Oryzias latipes: one gene and its partner. The protein of the gene in region 1 binds, or shares a complex with, the protein of each later gene. Links are inferred from orthologs where the notes say so. Each region holds a gene or a part of one and is shown in the gene's direction. Other genes may lie near its edges.

Evidence for each region.
Region 2: the proteins of bmpr2 (region 1) and inhbb are in contact, whole or in part, in a crystal structure (PDB 7U5O), measured with the Homo sapiens proteins. The link is inferred for Oryzias latipes from reciprocal best matches to the Homo sapiens genes BMPR2 and INHBB. Residues at the interface, in NP_001195.2 of Homo sapiens: Tyr40, Tyr67, Leu69, Val80, Lys81, Trp85, Ser86, His87, Ile88, Gly89, Asp90, Gln92, Ile108, Gln109, Tyr113, Phe115; in NP_002184.2 of Homo sapiens: Phe309, Asn318, Asp319, Ile322, Ala323, Pro324, Gly326, Tyr327, Tyr328, Thr379, Met380, Ser381, Met382, Leu383, Phe385, Asp386, Asn390, Ile391, Val392, Lys393, Asp395, Ile400.

The regions. Positions count from the first base shown.
Region 1 is NC_019860.2:15,315,334-15,330,987, forward strand, and holds part of bmpr2 (bone morphogenetic protein receptor type-2), read left to right. Parts: intron 1-8,903; exon of another isoform or gene 8,904-9,170; intron 9,171-9,498; coding exon 9,499-9,606; intron 9,607-9,615; exon of another isoform or gene 9,616-9,725; coding exon 9,726-9,817; exon of another isoform or gene 9,818-9,875; intron 9,876-10,061; exon of another isoform or gene 10,062-10,170; intron 10,171-12,785; coding exon 12,786-13,016; intron 13,017-13,414; coding exon 13,415-13,529; intron 13,530-14,064; coding exon 14,065-14,225; intron 14,226-14,375; coding exon 14,376-14,523; intron 14,524-14,645; coding exon 14,646-14,782; intron 14,783-15,329; coding exon 15,330-15,502; intron 15,503-15,654. UniProt on the Homo sapiens protein: On ligand binding, forms a receptor complex consisting of two type II and two type I transmembrane serine/threonine kinases.
Region 2 is NC_019860.2:10,772,821-10,788,474, reverse strand, and holds inhbb (inhibin beta B chain), read left to right. Parts: upstream 1-3,422; 5' UTR 3,423-5,833; coding exon 5,834-6,215; intron 6,216-8,973; coding exon 8,974-9,752; 3' UTR 9,753-13,557; downstream 13,558-15,654. UniProt on the Homo sapiens protein: Inhibins and activins inhibit and activate, respectively, the secretion of follitropin by the pituitary gland.

The DNA.
Region 1 (15,654 bases):
GCCCCACACTTTTGTCTTGTTGTGTGGCGCCTTCGTTCTGTTTTAGGCTTGGTTCCCAATAAAACTGCGATGGAAGCTAGATTTGACCCTTTAAAAACATTAAATTGAATGTTTATGTCACTTCTGCTATGTTTATTTAACTTTGAGGATAAACAATAAGGATAAGTGAACGAAAGAAATAATTTACGGATTGTACGGGTTGGATTATCTTCCCTACTTGTGACGCAACAGCCAACAGGAAGCGGTTTGCGTTGCTGCCTGTCTGTTGTGGTTTTGGAGAGTCGAGGAGTGTGTAACAGGAGTGTTGTTAATTGTTTGTCACGTTTTGAGTGATGAATGAAAGCAGCATGTGTGGCGGGAAGGGTGGGGGTGAGGGTTGGTAGCAAACGCCGGCTCGTCTCGCTTCTCCTGCCGACATGCAAACAAACACACACTCTCCGGCACGCACATTGTCTTTCTGCATTCCAGGGATTTCGCGGCGTCTGCTCTCCGCCTGTCTGCAGGCACGCAGGCGACCGTCTCTCTGTGCAGACAGACGACGGCGGAGTGAAAAAGAAAGGAATTCGCCTTTGATCAGAGCTTGTAAAACTCCCAGTGCATATTGTCCCGGAATATTGGATTTCTTTTCTGAGTCCGACGTGCCCGGGCAGAAACTGGTGTGCGTGATGTGAAGCGGCTGGTGGGAAATGGAGTCATTTGCCAAATGGCTGCCAAATGACTGTTTTGACTGACTGTAAGGCCGGTCTCGTGCAGGCATTGAGCAATGACAGAATCCAAAATAATCTAAACACGAGTACAAGGAGTCAAAGGGCTAGCAGGGATTCTTACAAAGCAAAGAAGGTTGTCGACTGCTGATGAATCTCAAATCTATCGTCTGTATGTCTATGTCCTTTAGGACTACTGTCGTCTTGTTGGCTCTGCTTTCATTGGGTGTTCCAAAAATTAGAAGTTTCAAGTTCCAGGGGAGTTTAAAGATCACTTTTATTCGTGAACCAACAATCATTACTTAAGAACAGAAGATAGGGTCATGTGACTGATTCTGGTTTCTGTGGAGCCGCTGTAGACGCATTTGGGATATTTGGTCGCCGCTATCCTGATAGCATTCAAAGCCACTGGAGTGTCCTAAAGTGGGAGAAAATCTGAGGGTCGTTGAAGCATGCTCAGACAAGATCGTAGATGTTAAGCCTGAAGACAGAGCTTCATTTTCTGCATAACTTCAAAGTCAAACATCCAAACAAATATAGACAAAATAAGTACAGTTAACGTTGGGCTTTAAGAAAAACGAGATTTTTATTGTTAAGTTTAACCATTTGACATAAATGTGCGCACACTCGTTTGTGCAATAACCCCATAGTGGTTGTTTAATGAACTGGCTCCAGTAAATAACACGTTTTTCAACCTTCCACAACTCTATGATCGCTTACGTGAATCAGCTGATTCTGATGTGGAGAAAAGCGCCTTTTCCATATCAGCTTTGCACCCGTTATACAACACTTCACGTTTTTGGCACCAGTATACATCACATTTTACTAGCATAGTTTTGCTCAACAGCCAAATCTGTTTTTCCGCAACAGAATCAGATGATTTACGTTAATTGTGTAAGCACGTAAGCAAGTGTTACATTTTTGTGTTGACTTGACATTACCAACGGTGACTTCAAAACCAGTTAAGTCCTAGCTAGCAAGGACTGACTCAATTGGTTTTCACATCACCAATCAAGTTGCGTCATTGTTAGCTACGACTCCACTGGTTTTCAAGACAACGTTCAAGTCCGGGCTGACGAGGACTGACTGTACCTGGTTTTTGCGAACTAATTTTTGTTTCAAGTTCCATCTGATTTTAAATTCACACTTTGAACTATCTAATAAAACATTTAAACATGTTTTAATCTTTGAAACAAGCAGAAGTGAAAACATTTGATTAGAAAGATGTGCTGAATGACATGTAACCGAATAGAAGATATTAGCATTAAAAGTCTAAACCTGGGACGTTTTCCCCTTTGGTGGAGCTTAAACAAGAGGCACGAGTGTGTGCAGCTCGCATTAACCAGCAGAGAGGAGCGCTTCTTTCACTCACTGGCTTAACCGACGGGGGTGGAGACATTAATTCTCATCGGAACACCAAAAAAAAAAAGGTTTTTACAGCTTTTCATGGTGCCGATATTTCCTAAAATTCTTCCCATACCCATGTCGTTGCCGTAGTAACATGAGATTTGTCAAGTGGTTTTGTGTGGTTCCTTATGAACAAGTCAGATTTTTGTGAGGCAACTAGCACTTTTATCATACAAGTTTGGACTGACAATTGGATTAAACAAAGGAAACTGGTCTATCGGTGTAACATTAATGCAGTCTGAAAAAGTTCAAGTGATTTCACGTTTTTAAGAGGTTGTCCCTCTGATGGGTCACAACACCAAGAGATAGGCCATAGGGTTGTGCCGATGGACGATATCATCGTCCATCGTGATGGGTGACTGACATCCCGATGGAGAGACCACCATCGTGATGCCACGCCCCCGCCACGTTGCGCGTCGACACCATAAGCCGCGGTTACATGTACAAAATATCTTGATGGGATCAATGGTCGGATTGGAATCCAACCGTGTAGATGGGCCCAGAAAAATGTTTTCAGAATATAAAAACGTTCACTAAGGTCACAATTTCGGTCGGAATAAATCATTCGCACATGCGCAGTATTCGCACATGCGCAGTTTGAAAACCGGAAGGGGATACAACTTCCGCCGAGCGGCTTTTTTTTCCAAACTTTATTGGATGTAACAATTCAATACAAAACGATAACAGCACCGAGCGGCTATATATATTGACATGTCAGCTCGGTAAAATACGAGACGATCTTCTAAAGGCCTGTTCACACCGGGACGAATTTCGCCGGCGATTTTCGCCGACGTTTAACGCCTCGTGACTAAACAAAGGGCACCAACGAGAGTGTGCACACCGACGCGAAAAAACGCCAGGCGTTAAAGCGTCAAAAAAAAAAAAAAAACGCCTCGACCAATGAGAATGGCGCTTTTGCTCACGTGTCTGGAGCTTCTGAAGTTACAGTAAAACACAACTTGGGGGCGCTCAAACACAAAACTGCCTTGCTGAGCACACATACCAGCGAAGAAGATAGACGCCAAGTAGCGTCTACACAACCGCGAAGCAATAATGACGGACATTCTAAAATATCCCCGAACCAAGCACCAGTTGGAGCTACTGGTGCTTGAAATATTCATGTTTTCTTTGTTTGATTCTGACAAGCGTGTAAATACTTGCTCTCTTCTTCTGAGTGAAAAGCGACTTTCAGAAGCGTAAAGTTGCGCAGCGCCACCTTGTGTACAGGAGTATTTCTGTTTTACATTAAGCGCCATCTAATGTCAGGGAATGAAATTGCATGTTCACTCCACTCATCGTCAGCGAAAATCGCCTGGGTGTGAACACAAAAAACGTGGCGAAAAACGCTGGCGAATAACGCCTGGCGAATATTCGTCCCGGTGTGTACGGGCCTTAAACGTGCTTTTAATAATGTTACGGTTATTATCAAACACCTGTTCGCTCATCATTTGAATTTTAATCCGTGTGGTCAGTGCTTTTTCTGAACGGAGCCAGGATTAGCAGTATGCTAACACGGGCTAACAACATTAGCTTTGGGTGGCGCTGCACGTAAACGTGTAAGAATAACATCAGCCTTTATTTAGTCGGGACACGACTGGAAACACAAATCCACGTGATTGTTTGAATGTTTTCTAAGGACTGAGCGACATTTCTGCTTTGATGCTCAAACCGCTGTGTGTGCTGACGATCCGAGCTGTGCTCAGACACACACGTTTAGACCCGGTTCTGAGTTCGGTTGCTTGTACCCCTAGAGCTGCAGGACGGATCGCAGTCTTAAATCTCCCACACATACCGCTCATGTACCCCCCCCCCCCTTCCCATCAAACACAAAGCTTTAATTCCGCGCTCCGCCGGTCCACTTCACTAATTAAGTGCGGGAGCGACTACACTTCTCTTCTATTTTGCTTGTTACTTTTTCTGTTAAAGTCACTTCCCTCAGTTTATACTGGATCATCGCGGATTAGTCATTAGTTGGGAAATAAAATGAAAAAAGCAAAAAAACGAATAGCAGTTATATAAGAACGAAAAATGTAAAAATACAACCCCCCCCCCCCCCCCCCCACGATGTCATCGTCCATCACGATGGTTGTGGGTGGAGACATTAATTCTCATCGGAACACCAAAAAAAAAAAGGTTTTTACAGCTTTTCATGGTGCCGATATTTCCTAAAATTCTTCCCATACCCATGTCGTTGCCGTAGTAACATGAGATTTGTCAAGTGGTTTTGTGTGGTTCCTTATGAACAAGTCAGATTTTTGTGAGGCAACTAGCACTTTTATCATACAAGTTTGGACTGACAATTGGATTAAACAAAGGAAACTGGTCTATCGGTGTAACATTAATGCAGTCTGAAAAAGTTCAAGTGATTTCACGTTTTTAAGAGGTTGTCCCTCTGATGGGTCACAACACCAAGAGATAGGCCATAGGGTTGTGCCGATGGACGATATCATCGTCCATCGTGATGGGTGACTGACATCCCGATGGAGAGACCACCATCGTGATGCCACGCCCCCGCCACGTTGCGCGTCGACACCATAAGCCGCGGTTACATGTACAAAATATCTTGATGGGATCAATGGTCGGATTGGAATCCAACCGTGTAGATGGGCCCAGAAAAATGTTTTCAGAATATAAAAACGTTCACTAAGGTCACAATTTCGGTCGGAATAAATCATTCGCACATGCGCAGTATTCGCACATGCGCAGTTTGAAAACCGGAAGGGGATACAACTTCCGCCGAGCGGCTTTTTTTTCCAAACTTTATTGGATGTAACAATTCAATACAAAACGATAACAGCACCGAGCGGCTATATATATTGACATGTCAGCTCGGTAAAATACGAGACGATCTTCTAAAGGCCTGTTCACACCGGGACGAATTTCGCCGGCGATTTTCGCCGACGTTTAACGCCTCGTGACTAAACAAAGGGCACCAACGAGAGTGTGCACACCGACGCGAAAAAACGCCAGGCGTTAAAGCGTCAAAAAAAAAAAAAAACGCCTCGACCAATGAGAATGGCGCTTTTGCTCACGTGTCTGGAGCTTCTGAAGTTACAGTAAAACACAACTTGGGGGCGCTCAAACACAAAACTGCCTTGCTGAGCACACATACCAGCGAAGAAGATAGACGCCAAGTAGCGTCTACACAACCGCGAAGCAATAATGACGGACATTCTAAAATATCCCCGAACCAAGCACCAGTTGGAGCTACTGGTGCTTGAAATATTCATGTTTTCTTTGTTTGATTCTGACAAGCGTGTAAATACTTGCTCTCTTCTTCTGAGTGAAAAGCGACTTTCAGAAGCGTAAAGTTGCGCAGCGCCACCTTGTGTACAGGAGTATTTCTGTTTTACATTAAGCGCCATCTAATGTCAGGGAATGAAATTGCATGTTCACTCCACTCATCGTCAGCGAAAATCGCCTGGGTGTGAACACAAAAAACGTGGCGAAAAACGCTGGCGAATAACGCCTGGCGAATATTCGTCCCGGTGTGTACGGGCCTTAAACGTGCTTTTAATAATGTTACGGTTATTATCAAACACCTGTTCGCTCATCATTTGAATTTTAATCCGTGTGGTCAGTGCTTTTTCTGAACGGAGCCAGGATTAGCAGTATGCTAACACGGGCTAACAACATTAGCTTTGGGTGGCGCTGCACGTAAACGTGTAAGAATAACATCAGCCTTTATTTAGTCGGGACACGACTGGAAACACAAATCCACGTGATTGTTTGAATGTTTTCTAAGGACTGAGCGACATTTCTGCTTTGATGCTCAAACCGCTGTGTGTGCTGACGATCCGAGCTGTGCTCAGACACACACGTTTAGACCCGGTTCTGAGTTCGGTTGCTTGTACCCCTAGAGCTGCAGGACGGATCGCAGTCTTAAATCTCCCACACATACCGCTCATGTACCCCCCCCCCCCTTCCCATCAAACACAAAGCTTTAATTCCGCGCTCCGCCGGTCCACTTCACTAATTAAGTGCGGGAGCGACTACACTTCTCTTCTATTTTGCTTGTTACTTTTTCTGTTAAAGTCACTTCCCTCAGTTTATACTGGATCATCGCGGATTAGTCATTAGTTGGGAAATAAAATGAAAAAAGCAAAAAAACGAATAGCAGTTATATAAGAACGAAAAATGTAAAAATACAACCCCCCCCCCCCCCCCCCCACGATGTCATCGTCCATCACGATGGTTGACAGCAAACATCGTCAACGGCCAAATTAGGGGACATCGCCCAACCCTAATAGGCCATAGAGTTCTATTAGAGTTCTTAAATGTTCTGATGCAGGTTTAAGGGCCAACTTCTTTTTTTTTTTAATATCTAGTGAAAAACCATGTAATCCAGATTCCAATAAAGCATTTGACCCTGTACGAGGGCTCAGGCAACGGATGCTGTCAACTGGAAACACGACGACTGAGAAGGCTGGGGTTGGAGATATGAAGACAGAAGTGTGTGTGTCAGCGGTTTTTCCTGATGGCTCCCTTGTGTCAAGGTGACCTTGGCATTTGAGTGGGGCCTTGTCATGCACAGTGTGTAAAACGTGTCGCTTCTAGAAGCCATTTTTTATTGACCACAGCAGCGTGTCCCAGTAGCACCACTGCACTCGTGGTGGGTTAGTGAATCTTTGGCCTCTTTCTGGAAGAAAGACAGGTTTTAGATTCTAGACCTTTGGTCATTGCTTCCATCTTAAATTCCAAGCTTAAACTGTGGTTTTGATGGTCTTTATACACTGGTGGCATTCAAATGTGTGTGTTTTTTTGTCTGTCTGCTGTTAGCAGCCCAAATGGTCCACAATACAGTCTGTTTTTTTTATAGATATGTTAGTTTTGCTAGAATGTTTTACCTTTACCTCATTAAGGCAGAAACAAATACAACTACAAGTTTGATAATCGCTCAAAATCCGTATTTTCTTCGCCTCTGAGTTGTGGGTGAGAGCTCTCTGTTTATGACCCGGCCGGCGTACTTTCGATGTCACAAATATGGGCTTTTTTCAAACGACCGATGTTTTCAGACAATTTGAATTCAGATTTTGAGCTCAATTTTCTCAATAGACGTCCTCCATCATCCGAAAAATGACACATAAAACAGCATTTTCATTGGAGTGGATCTTTAAGATCAAATCCTAAAATCCATTGATGGATTTTCCTTTAAAAAAGGAATTTCTTGGATTGTTTTTTGATTTAAAAAAAATGGTTTTCTTTCGGCTTTTATATTAAGAAGTTGTGATTGGTTGTGTAAAAACTGTTTTTTAATAACCAACTGAAATGAAAAGCTGAAAAAAATCAATCACCAAATGGACTAAATGTATGCAAGTGAACATTATTATGGCATTCATTTGTTGGGTGGGTGAAATAAAGTTTGAGAATCATACCAGAGCATCTGCTGTCAGAGGCTGCAGGTGACTCATGGATGACAGAAACCAGCTCCAAAATCAACCTCATTATCAGGATCGTTCTTCCAACTGAACCTACCAACTTAGATGAGTAATCACGACAGCACACGGCAAATACTTCATGTCTCTTTACCCAGAAACTGTAGCAGTTGTTCATGTATTTCTGTGGCAACACCTTTTCCTTTCCCCCTCATAGAAACATGCATTAGGCTTCAACAACTTGACCCACATCTGCAAAACATTAGATTCTCTTTTGGTTTGTAGCTCTTCTCAGTTTACTTCCTCAAATTGCTCTTTTTTTGTTTTTTTGGTTGAAGTGGAGATGTTGTGGATTGTTTGGTCTACCTGGTTCTGCAGGTGTGGAAGGTTATAGTCAAATCTGTTGCATCGTTAACAAGCTTGGAAATCAGCTTGTAAGTGAACTCTGATGAGGTTCAGCAACAGTGTGAATGCAAACAGACTGAAAAGAAGTACAGTGATCCCTCGTTTTGGTAAAAATAACCTGCGTTAGGTGAAGTTCGCAAAGTGGAATGATCGATGTTTTTAGGCTGTAAAGCCCCTCAGGACACTCTGCACTTTGATGAACATTTCAAAACTATTATCTCTCGTTTAAACTCTCAAATAAAAACATAAAAAAAGATCTATTAGCTACCAAAGATTGAACACACGATGTTCAAGAGGCACTTAGGTTGGGTCCGAATTCCTTCACTAGATAGTGCGTTCGCCATTTTGTAGTGTTGTTCGAATATAAAATTTTAAAATTCAGTGCCCTACAAATTTTCCAGAAGTCGCTGTGAAAAACCAGTATGCATCGCTGCTCACCACAATTTAGACCACAATGCATTCCGTTTGAACAATTTTTGCGAAATAAATCTGTTTAAATGTTTTTTTTAGTAAACAACCAACATTTTTGTCACCAGTGGATTCAAAAATATTCGTTGTAAAATACTTGTATTAATTCGATTTTAACTTTGTGAAATTGGTGACGTCTTATTTTCCGTTTAAAAAAAAATGAAAGTATTAAGATTGATTGACAGTGGTCTACAGCCGATTAGAACACAATGCACTATAAAAAAAAATAATAAAAACATGCAGAATTACTCTAAAATGTTTCCAAAAAGTGAACCACAACATAGTGAGGGACCACTGTGTATCGAAAACTGATGAGAATTTGAGAAGGAAACTTTACTCAAATCAGAAACAGCACCAACTTTTTGAGTAAGAAAAAAAAATCCTTAAAAAAAGTCCATTTAGTAAACATAATGCTTTAAGGAAGGAAAAGTCCTTTTTTGGGCAACACTGCCCTCTAATGGAGCAGCCTGTAAGTGCAGGGCATTTCTTGTAGTTTGTCCACTCTCAAAGGTGCAGTGTGAAAGCAAAAACAGAAGTACTACTGTTCAAGTATCAAGCATTTGATTCTTTATTTATTTTGTTATTTTAGGAATTCTGTTTTCCATAAAATGGTACGATGCAAGTCTTTGAACTCGCTTCAACTCTTGGCTAGCTGAACGCAAAACAGGCTTTATCTGACTTTGAACATAATCAGATGGGACCATCTAGTAAAAATATGGCAACAGACACAACACAAAAACCAAACTGGTTTGTGCGGTTTACTTGGTATTCAAAGGGTTTTTCGCTTTTTCCCGGAACGTCTTTGATGGTTCTGTCGATCAAGAAAACAAATAAAAGAAAAAAATCAGTTTGAGATGTTTAACAAGTTTTTTTTTAAAATAGAATCACACTTTTTCATTGTTTATATATCCTTACAGCTTCAAGATTGGCCTTGTTTTTAGCTTCTTTTTCATTTAAATGATGTATGTTTGCGTTATCTTAGCAGTCAAGCTGAAGGAGTTTGTGTGCATTCAGCTGACAGACATAGGCCAAGGCTCCCGGAAGAAGTTCACATCCAGAAATGTCCTCTTCATTTACCATTTTTTCATCAAATTCCTACTTTTATGTTTAAAAGAAAAATGTTTTCTCTTGCTTTGTAGACCCTGCTACACTGCGCCAAGAAGAGACCATAATTATTGCCCTGGCAACGGTCGCCGTGCTGGCCGTGCTCATTGTAGCAGCCTTCTGCGGTTACCGCATGATGCACGGTGAGTTACCATGGCGCTGAGCTTGCGAGGAAGAGAGCAGGAATCGTCATCTTCGAAGGTCGCTAGAATGTGCTGCAAGAACCTGAGTTGTTGTGTTTTTCTGTTGTTGTTGTCGTCAGGAGACGGGAAACAGGGCCTGCACAACCTGAACATGATGGAAGCTGCTGCCTCCGAGAGCTCCCTGGACCTGGACAATCTCAAACTGCTGGAGGTCGGCCACGCCAGCTTCCCCGTTTCTCCGTCTCTGGGGGTTTCTAACTTTCAAGCGACTGCAAAAAAAAAAGAAAGAAAAAGAGAGCCATTAGAAGCTTGTGTAGCACTACAGGGGCTTTTATTTTTGCACCACTTCAACCGAAAAATGGAAAGTTTTTTTTTTTGGGATATAAATTGATCTTTTTATACTGAAGTAAAAAAGCTTCTGAGAAAAAAAAAAAAAAAAAATTCCACGCTCTTACCGGCTTTTAAAGAAACACAAGAGGAGAAAGAAGAAACCGAAGGAGAAAAAAAATATAAAAAATGATGCGCCCAAAAATACATCAAGGTTTATAGTTGCATTTGTCATTTCAATGTGACTTTTATCATCCGACCATGGCAGCGCGAATAAAGCTCCGGGTCAGGCGTATAAAAATAGGGATGTGCTTACACTGACACCGGATCTGGAAATGGGAGAGCCAACATTGTGAGAGGACGTCAATATAGTTTGCATGAAATCGAACCACAGTGACTGTTTAAGCAGATAAAGGCAAACTAGCCAAGGAACCAGGTTGTTTGTCTCTGCTCCAATTTCCGAAGCAGGAATAGGCTGAGATATATATATATATATATGTGTGTGTATATATATGTATATGTGTGTGTATGTGTGTGTGTGTGTGTGTGTGTGTGTGTGTGTGTGTGTGTGTGTGTGTGTGTGTGTGTGTGTGTGTGTGTGTGTGTGCAGAGGAAAAATTGGAAACTGAAAGTAGAAAAAGGTGAGCAGGTGCGGCAGCAAAACATTTAACAAAGAAGCCTTCGTCAGTGGATTTTGATTTTTCTGATTTTGCAGAGGATGACTCATGCTAACAAGGCGGCCTCCCTAATGTGAAGCAAACAACACGAGGCCCCTGAAGCTTTCAGCATAATTCTCTCTGATGCATTGGATAAAAATATAAACCGGCGTTTATAGTAGAGGTTAATAGACTTTCCATTTTCCCTGCGGGTCTGGACACGCTTTTCCAAATGACCACATGCAGGTAAAGAAGAGTCAAAAAAAAAATTAGCCCTAGATGTTATTATTTTTAGTAGTGCTATTTTTGTACAGCGCCTTTTTGAATTTAAAGGTGCTTTCCGGAGATGCAGAAGGCTTTAGCAACATGTAAAAAAAAACATAAATAAAAGGCGAAATTTAACAGAATGTGAAACTAATAACCACTCAATAGTGTCTGCTTTGATCCTAAAAACATGCCTGATAAATAATCAATTACACCAAATAAAAATTGGGGAGGGTGAGTAACAATCCCCTAGTGGCTCTGTGATGAACTACACTTTAGCTTTTTTAATGAGCTTTAATAAGTTGACTTTTTTTTTCTTTCAAATTACGCCACAGTTTTTCATTCTAATGCAATCATTTTACTCTAAAACATTTTTATATACGTTTTTTTTATTCAAGTCACGCAAACCAGTGTTGAAAAATATAATGCTAGTGATCAGAAGCTAATGTCTTAGCATGTTTATCAACATGTCGAGTAAAGTTAGAACAAGCCTAAGATAGGGACTTGGGACTTAAAACTGGGACTTGAGTTACACTTAAGAGTCAACCTCAAAGACTTGAAACATAAGGTTTCAATATAAAAGTGTCTCAAAGAGTTTTTTTCAGAGATCCAGAAAGCTTTAGCAACGTAAAACATGCAAAAACTAACGGAAAAAACAATGCAAAATAAAAAGAGAAACGTGACAGTATGTAACACTAAGCTACTTTATATTATCTGCTTTAACAAGAAAAGATTCAAAAAATAAAGTCAGAAAACAGTTACAAGCCACAAGCCCCTAGTGGTTATGTAATGAACTGCACTTTTGTTTTTTAAAGAGCTTCAATCTGGAAGTTGACATATTTTAAGGGAAATTACATCACAGGTGTTAATTGTAATGCAATCACCCGACTCTAAAACATTTTAATATACCTTTTTTTTAATCAAATCATATAAATTAGCCTTCAGATTAGAGGCTAAAGTTTTAGCATGTTTTTTGACGGTCAAGACAAAGTGGAAAAAAAAACAAAGATAGGGAATTGGGACTCGAACTTGAAGCCTTGAATGAAGAGACTCGACCTCCAAGACTTGAAACTTGAGGTTTTTGGACTTGAGAGCAATATTTTATTTTAATGTTTTAGCTCCAGAACATGGCTTTCAGGTTTACAAAATAAAAGCTCCTTTTTCTTGGGAACATAGAAACATCAACTGCCTGTTTTAATTGATTTAAAAGTAGATTATTGATTATTTGTGACAATAAAGTATTAATTTGAACTGTTTTAAGAAATTAAATACAGAGACTTGGGCTTAAAAATGATGGATTTCATTTCCAAAACCCGTCGCAGGGCTTCTGGTCTGCAGCCTCGTTGTCTCCCTTTAGGCGTAGATGGGGTGCAGTTGAATTCCGAACAACGTCCTTGCGTCTTATCATGTGCACACGCTCTCTCACATTAAACTCGTTGCCTGTGGTGGGGGCGGGAAGCCGGTGGAGCCTCAGTCACAGACTAAACAAGTTCATTGTTTACCAGGGTTTGTTTTCTAACCCGAGATAAAGTTTGGAGGCAGGAATTAGAGCCATGTTAATGCGGCCCTGCGTTCTCGTCGTACTGCCGTGGAAACGGCTCTTTAAGGCGGAGTGGCCGGGGCCGCCTTAACAGCATGTTGCGCTCTGGGTAATTCAGGGCACTAATTGAATGAGTTTCAACCCGCTCTGCAGTTCCCGTGCTCAAAGGCCGCCCCAGATCTGAACGGGTTAACGGTGTAATCGAGTTGCTGATGGGTAATTTAGTTTACCTCCTCTATCTCTTCCTTCTGACTCTTGTTTCCCCCTTAAGATTTTTCTTTCCTGTGTAATGTTGTTTGGTGTTAATAGATTAGCAAAGTTGTAAACGTATGAAACCCACAGGATGTTGAGAAATTTACCTTTTCTCTCTCCCGCCCTTCCCCCCGCCTCAGCTGATTGGACGCGGCCGGTACGGCGCCGTGTACTGCGGCTCCCTGGAAGAGCAGCCCGTCGCCGTGAAGGTTTTCACCGTCGGCAACCGCCAGAACTTCCTCAACGAGTGCTCCATCTACCGCCTGCCGCTGCTGGAGCACGACAACATCGCTCGCTTCATCGCCGCCGACGAGCGCACGGGCCCAGAGGGGCGCACCGAGTACCTGCTGGTCATGGAGTATTACCCACACGTGAGCCTCCTGCTGTTACTAGTCCACGTTTTCAGGCAAAAACACAGCTCTTCCTCACACCGATAATAACAAAAGCTCCACATTTGTTCAGTTTGATTCCCTTATTATTTAAAAACCAAACAAAATTGACTTTTGGAATAAAGAATAATCGATTTAATTCGCTTGCGTCGGGTCTTAAACCAAATTGATGGAAGTGAAACTCCAGCTTTGATGATGCCGAGAGGATGAGGAGAATATCAATAAGAACGAGGATTTTTAGAAACGATGCCCAAAATTAGGAGGAGAGCTGTTTGTTTTCCTAGTATTTTTGGCTGTTTCTATTGGCTGTTTCTAAAAACCAAAGATTAACACCCTTTATCAGTATACAAATGTCTCATTGTTTGAATTTTCCTCCTCAGGGTTCCCTAAGTCACTATCTGACCCTCCATACTAACGATTGGGTCAGAAGCTGCCGGCTGGCCCACTCGGTCACGCGTGGCTTGGCCTACCTGCACACGGAAATCTTTAAAGGGGGTAAGCTGGGGTCTACAGTGTGGTGTTTCACCTCGCCTTCCAGAGTGTTCTCTCGCAGTATTTTGACAAACAATCATGTACACAGTGCATGCACGCCCTGCTCAGGGTATTTATAGCCTTTGCCTGCAGCCAGTTAAAAAAAAAAAAAGAAGAAAGAAAAAAAGGGAGAAACCAGGGAGGCGGATAAATTATGAGGATGTGTGTGGCTCACTGCTCTGTCGCCGGGCCTCGGCCTCGCCGGCCGTACTTTCCTTTTTTCTCCTCATCAGCGTAGATAAACATCAAACTGCACTAAAGTGACGTCCAAGTCAAAAGAATTGATGTGATTTGGGTAAAAACGCTGAAATGATTCAGGAGTGATGAGCACAGGAAGCTGCAGGGACGGCAGAAAACCACAAGCCAATGGTACGAATCTGCAGCTGCCTGGCTGCACCACCTGCTGGACAGCGCCTGGAACTGCAACCGGCGGGGGCGATTTAAAAAGGAAAAAAGAAGTTTGTGAACTTTTGTCGTTTTGTTTTTTTTCTTTGTAAAGACTTGTACAAGCCGGCGGTGTCGCACAGAGACCTGAACAGCAGGAACATCCTGGCCAAAGCCGACGGCACGTGCGTCATCATCGATTTCGGTCTGTCCATGAAGCTGACGGGGAACAGGCCGGCGCGCCATGGCGAGGAGGAGAACGCCGCCATCAGTGAGGTAAAGACCCAGGCAAAGCTGTTTTATTAATAATATTTGGGTTTTTTAGACTGTCATTTCCAAAATAAAGCTTTGTTTGTCCTTTTCACTGTAATATGTATGTGACTGGAACATGAAACCTGGTTTTCCCCACACATCCCCGTCTTCCAGGTGGGAACGATCCGCTACATGGCGCCGGAGGTGCTGGAGGGCGCCGTGAACCTGAGGGACTGCGAGTCGGCTCTGAAGCAGGTGGACATGTACGCGCTGGGCCTCGTCTACTGGGAGACGTTCATGCGCTGCAGCGACCTCTTCCCAGGTGAGGAACTCTGTCGGACTTTTTTTTTTTTTTTTTTAAGTCTGCGTCCCCCTTTTTTGTTGTTTTGGAAACGGATCTGATCTCAGAACCCATCGTCCGCCCGTCCCTCTGCCTTCCTGCAGGAGAGTCGGTGCCAGAGTACCAGATGGCTTTTCAGGCGGAAGTGGGGAACCACCCAACTTTTGAGGACATGCAGGTCCTGGTCTCCAGGGAGAAGCAACGACCCAAATTCCCAGAAGCCTGGAAGGAGAACAGCCTGGTAGGTTTGTGAGGAGCTGAGCCAGAGTTCACCGTCTGCCAGGCGCAGAACTGCTCTGGATTCTGTAACAAAAACTGTTTTTTTTAAATAAAACAACCATTTTGGGGGGAAAATCTATTTTTTTTTTCAAATCCAATATCAAGTCTGATAAACTGCTTGCGTCAAAGGAAACCGGTGTTTTGAGGGTATTTTGTCTAAATGTCTCAAAGAACCGTCTGAACATTTCCATTCTACTTTCTCAGCATGCTTCGTTTTCTTAGTAACTCACATCGTCTGTGGTAAAAACAGACCCGTTTGACTGTAGCTCAGATCCACATGAACGCCGGAGCAGTTCTGATCCACGGATCATTACACTAAAGGGCTACAGCGGTGGGGGAGGGGCTTTGGTTCAGCATCCAAACAAAATATCAGGAATCTTTGTATTACATCATCAGCAATTAGAAGACGAGCTGTGATTGGGGTCTTCTCCAAATAGAAAGTCACTCCTGACTAAAGAACAGGTCCCTGCAGTTACGCCAGTGATCTGTGATCGTCTCTTCTGCTTCAGGCCGTCCGCTCTCTGAAGGAGACGATGGAGGACTGCTGGGACCCGGACGCCGAGGCTCGCCTCACTGCCCAGTGCGCGGAGGAGCGGCTGGCAGAGCTGCTGCTCATATGGGACCGCTCCAAATCCGTCAGTCCCACGCTCAACCCCATGTCCACCACGCTGCACAATGAGAGGTGGGTCCCCAATATGACCCTTTATCAAATATACACTAAAGACCTGCTTGTTTGGTATAAAATATAAAGTTTCTAAAAGTATTGGCCCGAGCTCAGTGCCCTGTGGTACACCATATCTGATAGCTTTACAAGTTCCTCAGGTTGTCAGGGGT
Region 2 (15,654 bases), about 4.5 Mb from region 1:
AGACTGAACAAGCTGGTAAGACGGGCCGGCTCTGTCCTGGACTGCTCCCTGGACTCCATCGAGGAGGTGGGTGAGAAGAGGATGTTAGCCAAGCTGACATCAATCATGGACAACCCTTCTCACCCACTGTATCAGTCTGTTTCAGACCTCAGCAGCTCCTTCAGTGGCAGACTGCTGCACCCACGATGCAAAAAGGAACGCTACCGCAGGTCCTTCATCCCAGCTGCCATCAGGCTGTTCAACACCAGCCTAAGTAAATAGTTTCATAGTTTTTGTTTTTTATTCACTGTACAAAACTGTATATACAGATGACCTCTATATACCTGCACATCTCTTTCCCTGTTTATTTATCAGAACACTCTTACTTTTGTATGTATTCTTTCAAATGTGTGTCTGTCTAACTTGTCATTACTGTCTGTACATACTTGTGCCAAACTCCATGCTACTGTGACAAGGAAATTTCCCATTCGTGGGATTAATAAACAAATCTAATCTAACTTCTTTTTTAGAGCGTGCATTATCACTGTGGATTATCACTTTTTATACCATGGTCTGGGTAAATACTCAATTCTGATTGGCCGCTGCTTGTGCTCTACAGTTTTTCTCCAATGGTTTGGCTCATTTCTTGAAACAGAAATTACATTCTCAAAACAACATGGACAAACCTCCAAACTACTTGGCAATTGTTCACAACAGAATGGAATTTCTCATTAATTTCATCAAATTGCAAATGTCTTAGTATATGTCTCAATGTCTCAGTACATCTTTGCAAAATAATTAAGTACAGGTAGTCTTCATTTAGCACAATTTCCAAGTGAATAGATCTTGTTGATCCAAACTGTTGATTCTCAGTCTAATGGTTGTTCGCTCCAAAATGAGTCAGCATCATTTCATTGTGTAAGTCATCACATGCACAATATGACTCTTCTGTATGACTGATTTGATGTTTTCTTTTTTTACGCCATTGTAGAGAATAATGGCATTGGAAGGAAATGAGACTCCTCAAATCCTCGTGTTTGTGGATGAAGCTGTGGATGAAGCTGGCCTTAATATTATTGCCCACTGGGCCACGGTGGATGTCCCAGGCCAGCGAGGGGGCAATATAACTATGTGTGCTGGCATATCTGAGAATGGTGTGGCCAACCACATCCCCAGTCTTGGCCCATACAATACACAGAAGCTCCTCATCTTCTTGGACCGCCTTCATTTTGATTTGATCCCTGAAAATGAGAGAGATCTCTTAGGGCCTCACCCACCACTATATGTTATTGTACGGGACAATGTGAATTTCCACCGTGGCCCGCTCACAGGGCCTGGTTCACTACTCATCCAACGATGGTCATAGTGTTCCTTCCACCTTACTCTCCTTTCCTCAATCCTATTGAGGAGTTTTTCTCCGCTTGGAGGTGGAGAGTGTATGAGCATAAGGCTCAAGATCAGAAGTCCCTGCTCCATGCAATGGATGCTGTGTGTGAGGATATTACTTGAGATCAGTGTAGGGGATGGTTACAACATGCACGCCGTTTCTACTCTCGTTGCATCACAAGGGAGAATATACGCTGTGATGTGGACGAGAATCTGTGGCCATACAGACAGCAGCGTGTGGACGGCCAGCAGGGTGAGGACGATGGCCAGGAGAAGGAGGGTGAGGACAGCGACCAGTGAAGAACTAGTTGTGAAACTCAAGCATCCTTTACAGCACTGTAGGCTGCATATCATTTTCATTGTTTTTTGTTTGTGTGTAATTATAAAGTACATTATAGATAGATAGATAGATAGATAGATAGATAGATAGATAGATAGATAGATAGATAGATAGATAGATAGATAGATAGATAGATAGATAGATAGATAGATAGATAGATAGATAGATAGATAGATAGATAGATAGATAGATAGATAGATAGATAGATAGATAGATAGATAGATAGATAGATAGATAGATAGATAGATAGATAGATAGATAGATAGATAGATAGATAGATAGATGACTTTATTAATCCCACAATGGGGAAATTTAATTTATCTGTGACAGCAACACGGCATTCAGAAATAATCTATATAATATAACATCAATAAAGGACATCACATTGACAAATGACAAATGACATTTATATTAAATAATTAAAAATATTACTAAAATTATTATGAAAAAATTATTATCAAAAATTAGATTCTTATTAAATAAAGAAATAAATATTAAATATTAAATAAATACAGCTGCAAAAGTGTAAAAAACATGCGGTCTGCAAAACATGTAAACTGTAAAAAAACATTACAAATTTTTTCAAAATACAGAAATAACTAATGAAGTTCACACCAAAAACAAAAACAAACAACTGTTCAGGAATAAAAATATATGCTGTATACATTTTCTTTTTACTCTGATGTATGAAAGTTACTTTATGTGTGTGAATGATAACGGTTACGATTTCCTTGGCAGTATGAGTGTAATGTGTGCTGGTAAACCTAAGAGGCTACTCTTAACCTAAAATCCTTTTTCTTTTTTTCCGTTTTATACAAAACTGTATTCTGTTAACTATACATAAACAGTACAGTAAACATTGTCAATGGTTCAACATTGATGGTAATGTTGATCAATTTCTATGTTTCTGACAGACCTTTCCTTAATTTCTCCCTCTTCGCAAAAGGTTTGGACCAGGGGTCACCAACCCTGTGCCCGCGGGCGCCAGTGCACCCCTTGTGGCGCCCGCAGGGAATGCACCCAAAAAAAATATATTTTTTTTTTTTATTGAAGCAAATATTCAACAAACAACCACGGCATGTCTGTCAATGACAACAATATCAATTCTGAGATAAAGGTAGACAAAGAAAACCATTAATGTGAGGATTAATATTCCTGTCTGTTTTTATTTACATTTATGTTTAAAAAGTTAAAATAAAGTTAAAGTTTTAAAGGTTTAAAAGTTTATTTTTAGTGTGTTCAATAAATATTTATCTTGTCCGGCTGCAACCTAAAGTCTGTTTTGAAATTAGGCTCCCTCTGCAACTGAGTTTGACACCCCCCCCCCCCCCCGTAATACGAGTCTAGAAAATTCATGCATGTTTTTGTGTGTAAAATGAGCAAATAAAAATAGGGCACACAAAAGGAAGTCCTCAAATTGTGTTGTTTTTTTTTGGGGGGGGGGGGGGCTAGGAGGTTTTTAGTGGCGCCCTTCATACCACTTGGTGCCCATGAAATAGCCCTCGGTCTCAAAAAGGTTGGTGAACCCTGGTTTGGACACCCTGTGTGAAGTAACCCTTGTGCTATCCTGGGCACTTTAACATTGGGAGTTGGGTCATCTAGACCCACTAGACAGTGCTCTGAACCTTTTTTCTTCAATGATTTGTGATCTTCACTGGTGTCCATGGATTACATGAAATATTTCCACCTTTATCCACCTTTGTCATGGTAGGGAGAACATGTCAATGTAAGGGTGGGGTCATCTAAGATAGCACAAGGGACAAACAGTAGAAAGCTCAGTTTACCAGCTTCTTGAGGCGCTCACTGATGCATGTTGTAGTTTGCGTGTTTGGATCAAAGATGGCGCCATTTCCCCACTTTTCACCCTGATGTCAGGATCCGGAGCCGCTGGAGTGTTTAGGAGTTCACTTCCTCAACTTTTAACCTTGCATCTTAAATCTCTGAGCCAAAGAGTTTGCCATCATGAGGATTCAGACGCCTTGTGTTGTTGGAGGAGTGTGCCGGCGGTGGAGGTGGCGGGGGGTCTGGACTCCTCAGTCAAAGCAGTCAGCAAGGGTCAGAGGTCGACGCAGCTCTCGTGCCGTGATGGCCGGATTTGGTTTTGCAGTTTTTACTAACAAATGTCTGGAACGTCAAGCAGTGTCACTCGACCTCAGCGGGTCGGATCGTGTTGCATGAAAAAACGCACCGGGACATTTGAATATGGAGATCGTCCGGCCTGAGAGCTCCAGATTCAGGGCCTTTGTCGCTTTGTCATGTTTTAGTTTCAATCAAACTCTGACATGGGGAAACAGCGGGAAGTTACATCCTTTTCCAACAGACAGGGGAACTTTGAAGGACGCATATTAAAATCAAAAGAATGAATATTGCAATTGGTGCCAAACTGTAGCTGGAATAGGGTTGACGCAGAAGCTTCATGACTGAGTTTCCGGGAACTTTACTCCACAGTTTGGAAAATATTACAAAGCCAATTCCCCTTTCTAATATTTGGGAAAAGCTTTTTTTTTTTTTTTTTTATCTTATTTGTCCGTTTTGTAAATAAAAGCCACACAGCCACCTCTCATGCCCCAGTGATCAGACACTGCACCTTAATTTCTCCGCTTTTTAACTTTTGGATTTTCAAACTAAATCCTTATTGTTTGTTTGTGTCATTTTATTAAAGACAAGTGTTTCTAAACTGGAAAATGTAGTAATAACTAGACCAAAACTTTTTTTACAGTTCAAGTTGCTTTTTAGTTTTTGCATAAATGAAAAAATGCATAACCAATGTATATTTTGCACTGTAAAGCTAAATGTGATTTGCCTCCTCAAGAAAATTGAAATCTGAAAGTATTAAGGTTCAAATCTGAAAAGCTTCTCTTTCTTTTTTTTTTAAAAATAACCTCAATGTCAGCCAGTCTCATTAAATCTGGAGGCTGAGTGTAGTAACCTTGTCAGAGATAAATCAAATTTCTTTGTTACTATTCTTTCCCCCCAAATATAGTAAATTCACAAACAAAATAAATGTTCCAAGAGCAGAAGGATTTTAACAGTTGCTACTCTGCACAGTTTTGTCATTTTCACAATGCAGAATTTGGATTTCATTTGTCCCATAGCAGACATCAGCATCAGCAGGAGTTTTGTGCTAGAAAGTTGAACTTAAAATATGTGTTAACAAATAAAGATTTTTTTCCACTGATTATTAAAAATGAACAACTCCCAAAGGATATTGACGTCTGCAATTTAACTGCCATTTGAGGGCGCGTTGGTAATGCCAAACTCTGGCCTTACGGAAAGGTTCAAATCCCAGCTGGGACCTTTCTGTGTGGAGTTCTCCTTGAGCGTGTGCGGATATCCCCCACTCCGGCTACCTCCCACAGTCCAAAAACATGCTTCATAGGACCTGTTTAGGGTGTATCCTGCTTTTGCCCAACAGTAGCTGGATAGGCTCCAGCAACTCCGTGACCCTGACAAGGATTCTGCAGGTTCTGAGGATATTTCAGAGCTTCTCACACAGACATTGTACACCACTGTTTTCCTGGCAGTTGATCATGCGCGCCGGTGTTTGTTGTGTGACGGGGGTGTGGCTCCACGCACACGCTCAGGCTGACAGCGAAGGGGTTCCTCAGGGAGAGCTGCTTTGCCCCGCCCACAGTGTAAAGTATAAAACTTTTGGGTGCGCAACGCCTCGAGTCTTACAAAACGCCAGGATGGAGACGCTCCTGCGCGCGCTTTCTGGCACAGCTCCCTCTTCTCCTCCTTCTCTTCATCAGACCGGGATTTCCCACCCGGGACGCTCAGGCTTGTAGAGACAGAGAGAGAAAAAAAACACAAGTGAGGAAGAGGATGGTGCCTGTGCACACAGGATGCTGTTGCGGAATTTGGATCTGGTTCTGTGGAATAATATGTTGACAGATCCGGACGACTGATGGTTTTGCTGAGGATGAGCATCCACATAACGATGTAATTTCCCAGTTTTCTGCGCGCACAGATCTTTGAGTGAAGCTGCATCCGAGTGCGTGAGAGCCGAGCGGCGCGCGCTCCGCATGGAGACGGCGCGGCTCTGAAGGATCCCTTTTTTCTGTCTGTTAATGACTTTGACTCTGGGAGCAGAAAGAAAACCTGCCTCCACTCTTTCTCACACAGAAAATGAGTAGCTGTCCCCTCCGGCTGGCTCTCCTTGTGGCTTGCGTCCTCTATATTCGCTGCACCACTGCGCCCGGCACCGAGGCTCCCCGGGGCGCGTGTGCGTCCTGCGCCGCCGCTCGGTCCGAGGACGCCGAGTCGGGGCGCGTGGACGGGGACTTATTAGAAGCGGTGAAGAGACACATTCTGACCCGACTGCAGCTGCGGGAAAGACCAAACATCACGCACCCTGTGCCTAAAGCCGCCATGGTGACTGCGCTGCGGAAGCTCCATGCGGGGAAGCTACGCGAGGACGGCAGGGTGGAGATCCCGGACCTGGATGGGCATCCGATGAGCAACGAGGTTCTGGAGGAGAGCTCAGAGATCATCAGCTTTGCGGAGAAAGGTGCGTCATGGAGACATTTAAATTGTCCCTTTTACGTTTTTTTTATTTTAAACTCACGCGTCAGGTTCGCGCTGCAACAGAGACAAAGGAGATTAGAAAAGCTGTTGAGAGAAAACGCTTTAGATTGATCCTTCATGATAAGGCTTCCTGACAGCCGGCGCACTGCAGGCAGCAATGCAATAGACTGGACACTTGTTGTTCTGGGCACATATCGTATAAAGTAATATTAAATCTGAAGTTGACGCGCGCAGTCGTGCGCTCAAGCAAAACAAACTACAGCCGAATCTGTGCGTTATTTGGTATTTGGGCCCCTACTGCTGGGTCCTTTTCTCATTTTTTGTTGATATTTTAAAGCATTAAAAACAAAGATTCAGTTTAATCTGAAACAAAGTCAGGAAGTTTCTTCTGGATGCCAAACGGAGAGCTTAGGAGTTGGAGCGGCTCTCCGCGTCCCAGCACAGAGACGCACCTCACCCGGCCCGGAGAGGCTGAGGAGGCAGGAGGTGGTCAGTGATGTCTGCTTGTTCCCACGTGTGGGGTGTGAGCGCGCGTGATTTTTATTTTTTTGGTTGGAGTGTTTTTGCACTATTGCGCGCGTCTGTTTCAGAGCTTGGAGCGTTTTCTTTGGGTTGCGCAGCCTGAATGCTGAATGCAGATTGACGGGATGCTTTTGCCTTTGTGGCCTTAAAAAAAGAATCATGTTCGTGCACAAAAGGCAGGAAAGAATCAGTCAAACATTAGCGCCCAACATTAGGAACCAAAAGCTGATAAATCTGGACGCGTTCTTCTCCAAAATCAGCATTTTGTCAAATCGAATTTTTCTCAGGATAAAAACGTTGAACTTTTGCAGAAGTTTTCCTCTTGGCTCAAACTCTACCATTTTTTTTCCACGCATGAAATTTCTCTGAGATGTGTTTGAAAAGGAACTGTTCACATGTAAAATGTAAGCAATAAAAATACCTTAAGGCTCTGTCTGTGGATGTTCGCAACTCAACCCAAAGCTCTTGTTTTCTTTAATGTCAACATTTTCCAGAAAACAACTTTAGATTCGGCTCATTGTCTTCACTCTGATGGAGCTGCCAGGCTCAGCTTCTGCTAAGTTCTGGCCTTGGAAAAAGGGATGCCAGATTGATTGCTGTTTTAGTCTAGTTTTGGCACATTGAGCCTCGGATGGGCCGCCTTGGGGTCGTGTGAGGTGAGCCGAATAAGGATCATGTGCAACTTTTGGTTGGGACTGGAACTGATTTATTTCAAGCAATCAGAATGAAAAATACTAAAGAAGGCAACAAAAGCAATCTATACCTATACATAGATGTATCAAACTTTAGATGAATAATCATGAATTCATTGGAAAAATAAAATAGAGGATGCTTAAACATCCAAATACATGTGTTAATGATATCACTAATCAATAAATTGACACATTTGTAAATATAAATTCAATATTTGACACTTTGTATCGATTAAATGTTAAGTCTGTCAAAAGGCGTTGCTTGAAAAGCAGTTTTTGACCCTTCATCATATAAGGTTCATAAAAAATTGGAATCATCTTACAAGCACAAATTTCAAACTAATAAAGTATTTACCTTGATTTATTTTCCATCAACATCCAAAAAGACTCAGTGTTGATGCAGAATTCATGAGAAAAAAACAGAATCATTTTGAGGATGTGAAGAGGAAGGGAGCAGCTCTCTTGTCCAGGATGAGATTTAAAGCGAGCAGCATGCGTGTTCAGAGATCAGACTAAAGCGTCCCTTGTTGTAAAGCTTTTGAGAATCTGTTGTATTTTGAAATTTGCAAGACATTTCTGCACATTGGAGCCTGAACCTGCTCCAATGTTCCTCCCCTCCACAACCATAGGAAGGTTGATGCAGACTCAGAAACCTTCTCACCTTTGAATGACGAGCCATGAAATTCCATAAATCCTCCATTGTCCATATTTTGCCATGATCACGGGCCCTTACATGAGTTCTGAAAGTTCCAACATCTGATCTTCTTCATCTGACAACTTGTCGGCGACTTCCTGCGTGTCGTCTTTGCCTTTAAGTCCTGAACATTAGAAACGCAGAAATACATCAATGAAGCAGAATTACGTTTATGTTCTCGCAGAGAGAGAGAGAGTGGATTTAGAGCTGCAGGGGGGAGTGTTAAAGGGGTACACAATCTCTGGAGGGTCTGGAAGAAGGGAAGGATTCAAAATGTCCTGGTGTTTCTTCCACAAGCCCAATAGGTGATGTTTCTTGAAGCAATGATTTCACACTCTAAAAACTTCATGGTTAAAAAAAACAACCCGATTTAGCTAAACTCCTAGGTTAAAAACTTTTTGGTGGGTTTTAACTCTGGAAAAAAAAGGATAAAGTTGATTAAAATGAAACCCTGCGATAGACTGGCGACCTGTCCAGGGTGCCCCCTCCCTGGATAGGCTCCGGCAGCCCCGTGACCCCGAAAGGGAATAAACAGAAGAAGATGAATGAATGAATGAAACCAAATCTAATCTAACTCCCCAAAATTGGTATTACTCCAAAACGTTACCAAAAAATAAATCCCAACACGAATAATCCAAAAATTGGGTTGAAGAAACAACCCAAGTATTTTAAGATTTCGTGTTTAGGTACGATTTTCGACTCAATCCGCTATCATTTCCACATGTTTGGGTTAATTTCATGGGGTCTTAGGTCTTCTCCTCCTTGTAGCAGACATGATACACCAGCTCTACTGTCTGATGTTGTTGTTGAGGTGTTTGTCTTGTCCTTCTCAGATGACCTGGTCACATCTAAGTCCAGCCTGTTCTTCCTGATCTCCAGCGAGGGAAACCAGAACCTCCGGGTGATCCAAGCCACCCTGTGGCTCTACTTTAAGCTGCTGCCTTCTCCGACAGAGGAGCGCGGCAAGCGGAAGGTGACGACGAAAGTCTACTACCAGGAGCCCGGCCTCGGCAGCAAGTGGAACCTGGTGGAGAAGCGGGTGGAGCTGAGGCGCAGCGGCTGGCACACCTTCACCCTGACGGAGGCCGTCCGGCTGGTGTTTGAGAAAGGCGGTGACAGGCGTCAAAACCTGGACGTGCGCTGCGACGGCTGCGAGGCCGAGGGCGTCGTGCCCGTCTTGCTCAATCTGAATGACGACTCGCACCGACCTTTCCTGGTAGTGCGGGCGAGGCAAGCAGACGCAAAGCACCGCATTCGGAAGCGGGGGCTGGAGTGCGACGGCAGCAGTGACCTGTGCTGCCGCCAGCAGTTCTACATAGACTTCCGGCTAATCGGCTGGAATGACTGGATCATCGCGCCGTCGGGATACTTTGGGAACTACTGTGAGGGGGACTGCCCCCCCTACATGGCGGGGGTCCCCGGATCGGCCTCTTCCTTTCACACGGCCGTGGTGAACCAGTACCGCATGCGGGGCAAGAGCCCCGTCTCCATGAACTCCTGCTGCATCCCCACCAAGCTCAGCACCATGTCCATGCTCTACTTCGATGACGAGTACAACATCGTGAAGCGGGACGTTCCCAACATGATTGTGGACGAATGCGGTTGTGCGTGAGGGCCCAGTTGAACTGAGAACTCCACACAATATTCCAGCAACTAATGCATATAGAATATTTATGGACAATGAAGAAAACGTGCACACACCCACTTCCACAAGTATCTACACATCCCCATGTATGCCTGCACAGAAACTTGTACATATATTTATGTTTGTTGACTTTTTTGGTCATATCCAACATAACCTCGGCCGTATCCGTTCAGCCCCCTTCTCTTCTTCATCGCTTTGAAAACAATCAGCTTCTCATTAGATATCTCCAAGATGGTGAGGAAGACTTTGGTCCAGCCTTTGCTGAGCTGCATAATCAGATAAAATGCTGCTGCTGTCGGCTGAGTTGTTCAGTAAATTTAAAGCTACATTCACACCGCCCCCGGCAATGCGCGTTCAAGTGGCTGCTTCCAATGGACAGTCTATGTAAACACCCGTTTTGGGCTTCCACGTTCAAAACGCTACGCAAGTTTCTACAACCGTTTTCGGGCTATATGCACAAAACATGCATCCATTGTGTTGAAAGTTAAACCAGTTAAGATTTCAGTCAGGCACTCTGATTTGGTAGTGACGTGTGGATGGCGTTCCTTTTAATTCACGGAAGTACCAAACATTGGAAAATTGATGATGAGGGACAGATTAATAATTGTGGTTTGTGTTTGGCTGGAATTCTATGACACTGAGTCTTTCATCTATCAGAATAGAGAAAAAGCCTGGAGCAAGATTCAGGAGATTTTCATCACTTTGACATTTGGCACACAGTCTATACCAATATGTACTAGAATCAGGCAGCAATCTTGAACAAGCGTCACGTGAACGTAGCTTTAGGCGGAAAGACCAGATCGTCTCTTCATGAGGTGAAGGGGGGCCTTACCCAACAAATCAGCTGTGAGCAGCAACTATGAAGCCTCCTTTAATTAACAAACAGCACTTCAGGCCTGCAGTCACAATCGTTTTTACCGTTCCGGCAACAAAACAGAGCTTTTTCTTTCAATAGAAGGCAAAAGATGGAGATGTCATTCCTGAAGTCTGAGAGAAAAACCATGTCTGGTATTAAATTTAGTTTAGAGATACAGCAGCAACACAAACTCCGATATATGAACTGTTACTATTATCATTAGTAATATCTTTTACATATTGTATGTTATTAGATTTGCATTAAACAAGCATTTCTAATTGCGAAAGGAAAGTGAAACAAGAAACACCTTAAAACCATTGTTCTCGTTGATTAAATCAAACGTTTTTCAATCAAATTCCTACATTTTTGTCAAATCAACAAACCACAGAACATCAGGAACAACATCTCCCTTCTCTGCCTGCCTTTTGGAATCAAAAATGTCTGGTTGACGAAGGTCCTTAACTCTTGTTTCATTCAGTGAAAGCGAGGCATTGCCATATCGGTGAAGCTTTGCACTCCCGGACGCACACTTTGAAAGCACTTGCAGATTGAAAATGCCTTTAAGAAGCCCTCGGCGATGCGTCATTAGAGTCTCTCTAAAGTAAATGAATGCCGCACGAGCTATGCAATGTATAGTCTATACCCACAAATCCGACAACTAAAGCCCTTACTGGACAAACTATCAGTAATACTTGAAATGTGAGAGTGGCAGGCTGAGACGGGCGGGGTTTCAGGAGGGAGGAGCAATCATGAGACTTTTAAAAAATACGTCGTCCAGAACTTACTGTATGGAAGCTTTTCAGTCCAAAATTGGAGGTTGGAGGAGCAGTGATGAACTCAAAACTAGAAAACAGCATCATCTTTAGGTTTCTATGATTACAAAACTGTTTTTACATGAAAAGAAAACATGTTTCAGGGACAAAATAAACAGATAATGTTAGTTTGGAAATATAATTTAATGACAATCAGTAAGGTATTTTTTAATTACATTACAATTATGAATTATTGACTGAAATGTTTAAAATGACTGTTTCTAGATGCTAAAAGCACAACAGATCATAATAAGTGTTTACATTTTTTTGGGTATCTATGGCACATGGTGAGAAAAAATAAATATTTTTTTGTGGTTAAAAACGTATTTTACTGAAAGTAAAAAACTAAAAACTCAACACAACCAGTCAACTGGACAGCTGAGTTGGTTTATAAGCTTAACACTGAAGTTTGACCACCTGAAAGCACTAAGTGCTGCAGGTCACTGAAAGATCAACAGATGCCACTTTATCTGGATTATTTTAGGTTTTGTGTTCTTCTAAAGGCACTTGCTGGATGTTACAAATGATGATAAGCTTCCTAAACCTATTTGTGCACATGTTAACAAAAAAGTAAACTTAAAAAACACTGAAGTTATCAGGGCTCAAAGCCAAAAGGAGCTTCATCTGACATCTAAAGTTCACCACATAGGAAAGAAAATGATTTCATGGACAAATAATATTTATTTTTAAGATGTATTTATTTTTCAATATCTAGAAAAACATAATTAAAATTGAGCCTTCACAAAAACTTTACTTCACAGGCAGTACTAACAATGCCCACCTGTGTATGGGTGCTTTTGACAGAAATTTGGAGACAGTAAACCTTTGTTGCTGTCACGACACAGATTTTATTGCAAAGATTTGTCTTTATTTCTTTCCAGTTTTTAAAAGTTGCGACCTAAGTTTCAGGATCTGGTGATTTGAAATCAAATTTGCCACATTTTGTTAAAGTGATCAAGTCCTCAAGTACATCTCTGCGGTACTCCATAACAGATTTTATTACAAAGATTTGTCTCTATACCTTTGAAGTTTTCAAAAGTTGTGACCTAACTGTGTTAATTTGAAATAAAATCTGGAAAATTTTGTAAAAGTTATCAAGCCCTAAAATATATCCCTGATGGACTCCATATCAAATTGTGTTTCTAATTTTGGACTCTGTCACCTTTGAATTTTACTTTCCTGATTTGTTTGGACAAATGGAGGTGTCTTTAGTTGGTAAATGTAATTTGAGACATTTGAAATTGGAGATTTTGTAAGGATACTAGCCGCCAACAAGTCTCACAGAGATGACCAAACCTGTTTTCATTGTCAGACATGACGTGCAAGTGTATGTGCAAAGAACACTGAAAACACTCACTAAGAGTCACTGAATGACCTGTTGTGCTTTTCGACGATACAAACATCATAAAAGTTTATCTCACAAAATAAAATGGGATGCTGGTATGTAGAGAGGCAACCGGCGGCAAATCGCATTACAAACCCTGATTTCAGACGAGTGCGCCCAAACCAACATACGTTTACAGGCCTGTTATTTTGCACGTCTGTGGCGTTTATTCACAAATACCTGAGCCCCACATCCTGCTTATTATCTCCTCCTGTCCGACGCCCGCCCTCCCCCTCCCTTGCCTGCTGCTGGGATCTCTTATTCTTCAAAGGTTGTTAGAGTATTTGCACTGAGGAGTTGCGTGACTCGAGTCAGAAAAAGGAAATAAATAGAACTGCCATTGAAAGAAAAGAAGCTATTTTTGTAGAACCTGAGCTCTGTTCTGATGAACCGCATTGTGGAACCAAAGAGGCCGCCATGTTTTCTTCGTGTTGTGACTTTGTGACAGATAAAGAGGCCTAATCACTGTATCAGGGTATGATATCAGTCAATATTCAGCTCAAGCTCTTTTCTATTTTGTACCAAGACATGGAAAATATCATATTTTTTCATCAAAGTACTTAAATATTCCTAGTTTTCTTTTCTTGTTTCATTAGCTCTTGAATCATTTAGAAAGAAGCACATGCCATCCTTGTACAGACCATGTAACATATAAATATGCTTTTGAAATATTTCAGTCTTTGTAATTGTTGAAAATTAAATTTCTTATTACCAGTCGTATGGGTGTGTTGTGTTGTGTTAGTAAGATGCTCCATAATGACTCAACGTCAAGGTTGTTCTCATAAGTGCAGATGATAATGGGTTGGTCTTTTCTTCCAGTTCTAAACTGGATGTGAAAAGTTATATTGTTATGGTCCGTCTTCAGATTAAAACAGTTTTTCAACAATGGAAGTTTTTGTATTTTCAACTTTCATTGTAAAGAAATTGACATTTTTAAACATATTAGTCAGCCACAAATTGTGCAAGTTCTGCCACTTAAAAAGGTCTGTAATTTTCATCATAGGTAAACCTCAACTATGAGAGACAAATGAGAAAAAGAAAAAAAATCCAGAAAATCGCATTGTCTGGTTTTTAAAGAATTTATTTGTAAAGCATGGTAGAAAATAAAAATTTCGTCCCCTACAAACAAGCAAGATTTCTGGCTCTTACAGACCTGTAACTTCTTCTGTAAGAGGATCCTCTGTCCTCCACTTGTTACCTGTATTAATGGCTTCTGTTTGAACTCATTATCTATATAAAATACACCTGTCCACATCCTCAAACCGTCACACTTCAAAGTCCACTATGGGAAAACCAAAGAGCTGTCTAAGGACACCAGAAACCAAATTGTTGACCTGCACCAGGCTGGGAAGACTGATTCTGCAATAGTGAAGAGCTTGGTGTGAAGAAATCAACTGTGGGAGCAATTATTAGGAAATGGAAGACATACAAGACCACTGACCATCTCCCTCCATCTGGAACGCTCCGCAAGATCTCACCCCGTAAGGGTCAAAATGAACAGTGAGCAAAACTCCCAGAACCACACAGAGGGACCTAATGAATGACCTGCAGAGAGCTGGGACCAAAGTAACAAAGGCTACCATCAGTAACACACTATGCAGCCGGGGACTCAAATCCTGCTGTGCTAGACGTGTCCCCCTGCTAAAGCCAGTACATCTGCAGGCCCTTCCAAAGTTTGCTAGAGAGCATTTGGATGATCCAGAAGAGGATTTGGAGAATGTCCCATGGTCAGATGAATCCAAAATAGAACTTTTTGTAAGAACTCTACTCTGGATGAGGAAGAATGCTGAGTTGCATCCAAAGAACACCATACCTACTGTAAAGCATGGGGGTGGAAACATCATGCTTTGGGGCTGTTTTTCAGCAAAGGGACAAGGACGACTGATCTGTGTAAAGGAAAGAATGAATGGGGCCATCTATTGTCAGATTATGAGAGAAAAACTCCTTCCATTAGCGAGGGCTTTGAAGATGAAACATGGCTGGGTCTTTCAACTTGACAACCATCCAAAACACAGTGCCCGGGTAATGAAGGAGTGGCTTTGTAAGAAGCATTTCAAGGTCCTGGAGTGGCCTAGCCAGTCTCCAGATCTTAATCCCATAGAAAATCTTTGGATGTAGTTAAAAATCTATGTTGCCCAGCGACAGCCCCAAAACACCACTGCTCTAGAGGAGATCTGCATGGAGGAATGGACCGAAATTCCAGCAGCAGTTTGTGAAAACCTTGTAAAGACTTACAGAAAAGGCTTGACTGCTGTCATTTCCAACAAAAGATAATATACCAAAGTATTGAGTTGAACTTTTGTTGTTGACCAAATACTTATTTTCCACCATAATTTACAAATAAATACTTTACAAATCAGAAAATTTGATTTTCTTGATTTTTGTCTCATTTTGTCTCTCATGGTTGGGGTTTAACAATAATTAAAATTACAGGCCTCTCTCATCTTTTTAAGTGGGAGAACGTTTTTGCCCCACTGTGTATGGAAGATTTCCTCCATGTTTGTGGAGGAAATCCAGATTGATGTATGCGTTAAGTGTGCATACATCAATGAAATGATCTGGCTCAAAGTTGTGATGGGATTTAAAAAAGTATTAGTATTAGGTTACATCTAGGGTGGTCTGCTTGTGAAAAGTGCTACCATAACTGGAACTCCTTGGCACAGTCTGATGTTCCACGTGAGAAGAACACTCATTCATTGTTAAGTGTCCTCTCAGTGGCTCAAAGGAACTAAAAAAAACTGCACCTGAGCAGATTCTGCATGTCGAGTGTTTCATCTTCCAGCTTTTGATTGGAAGGGGGTTTTGTCTGCACGCTCT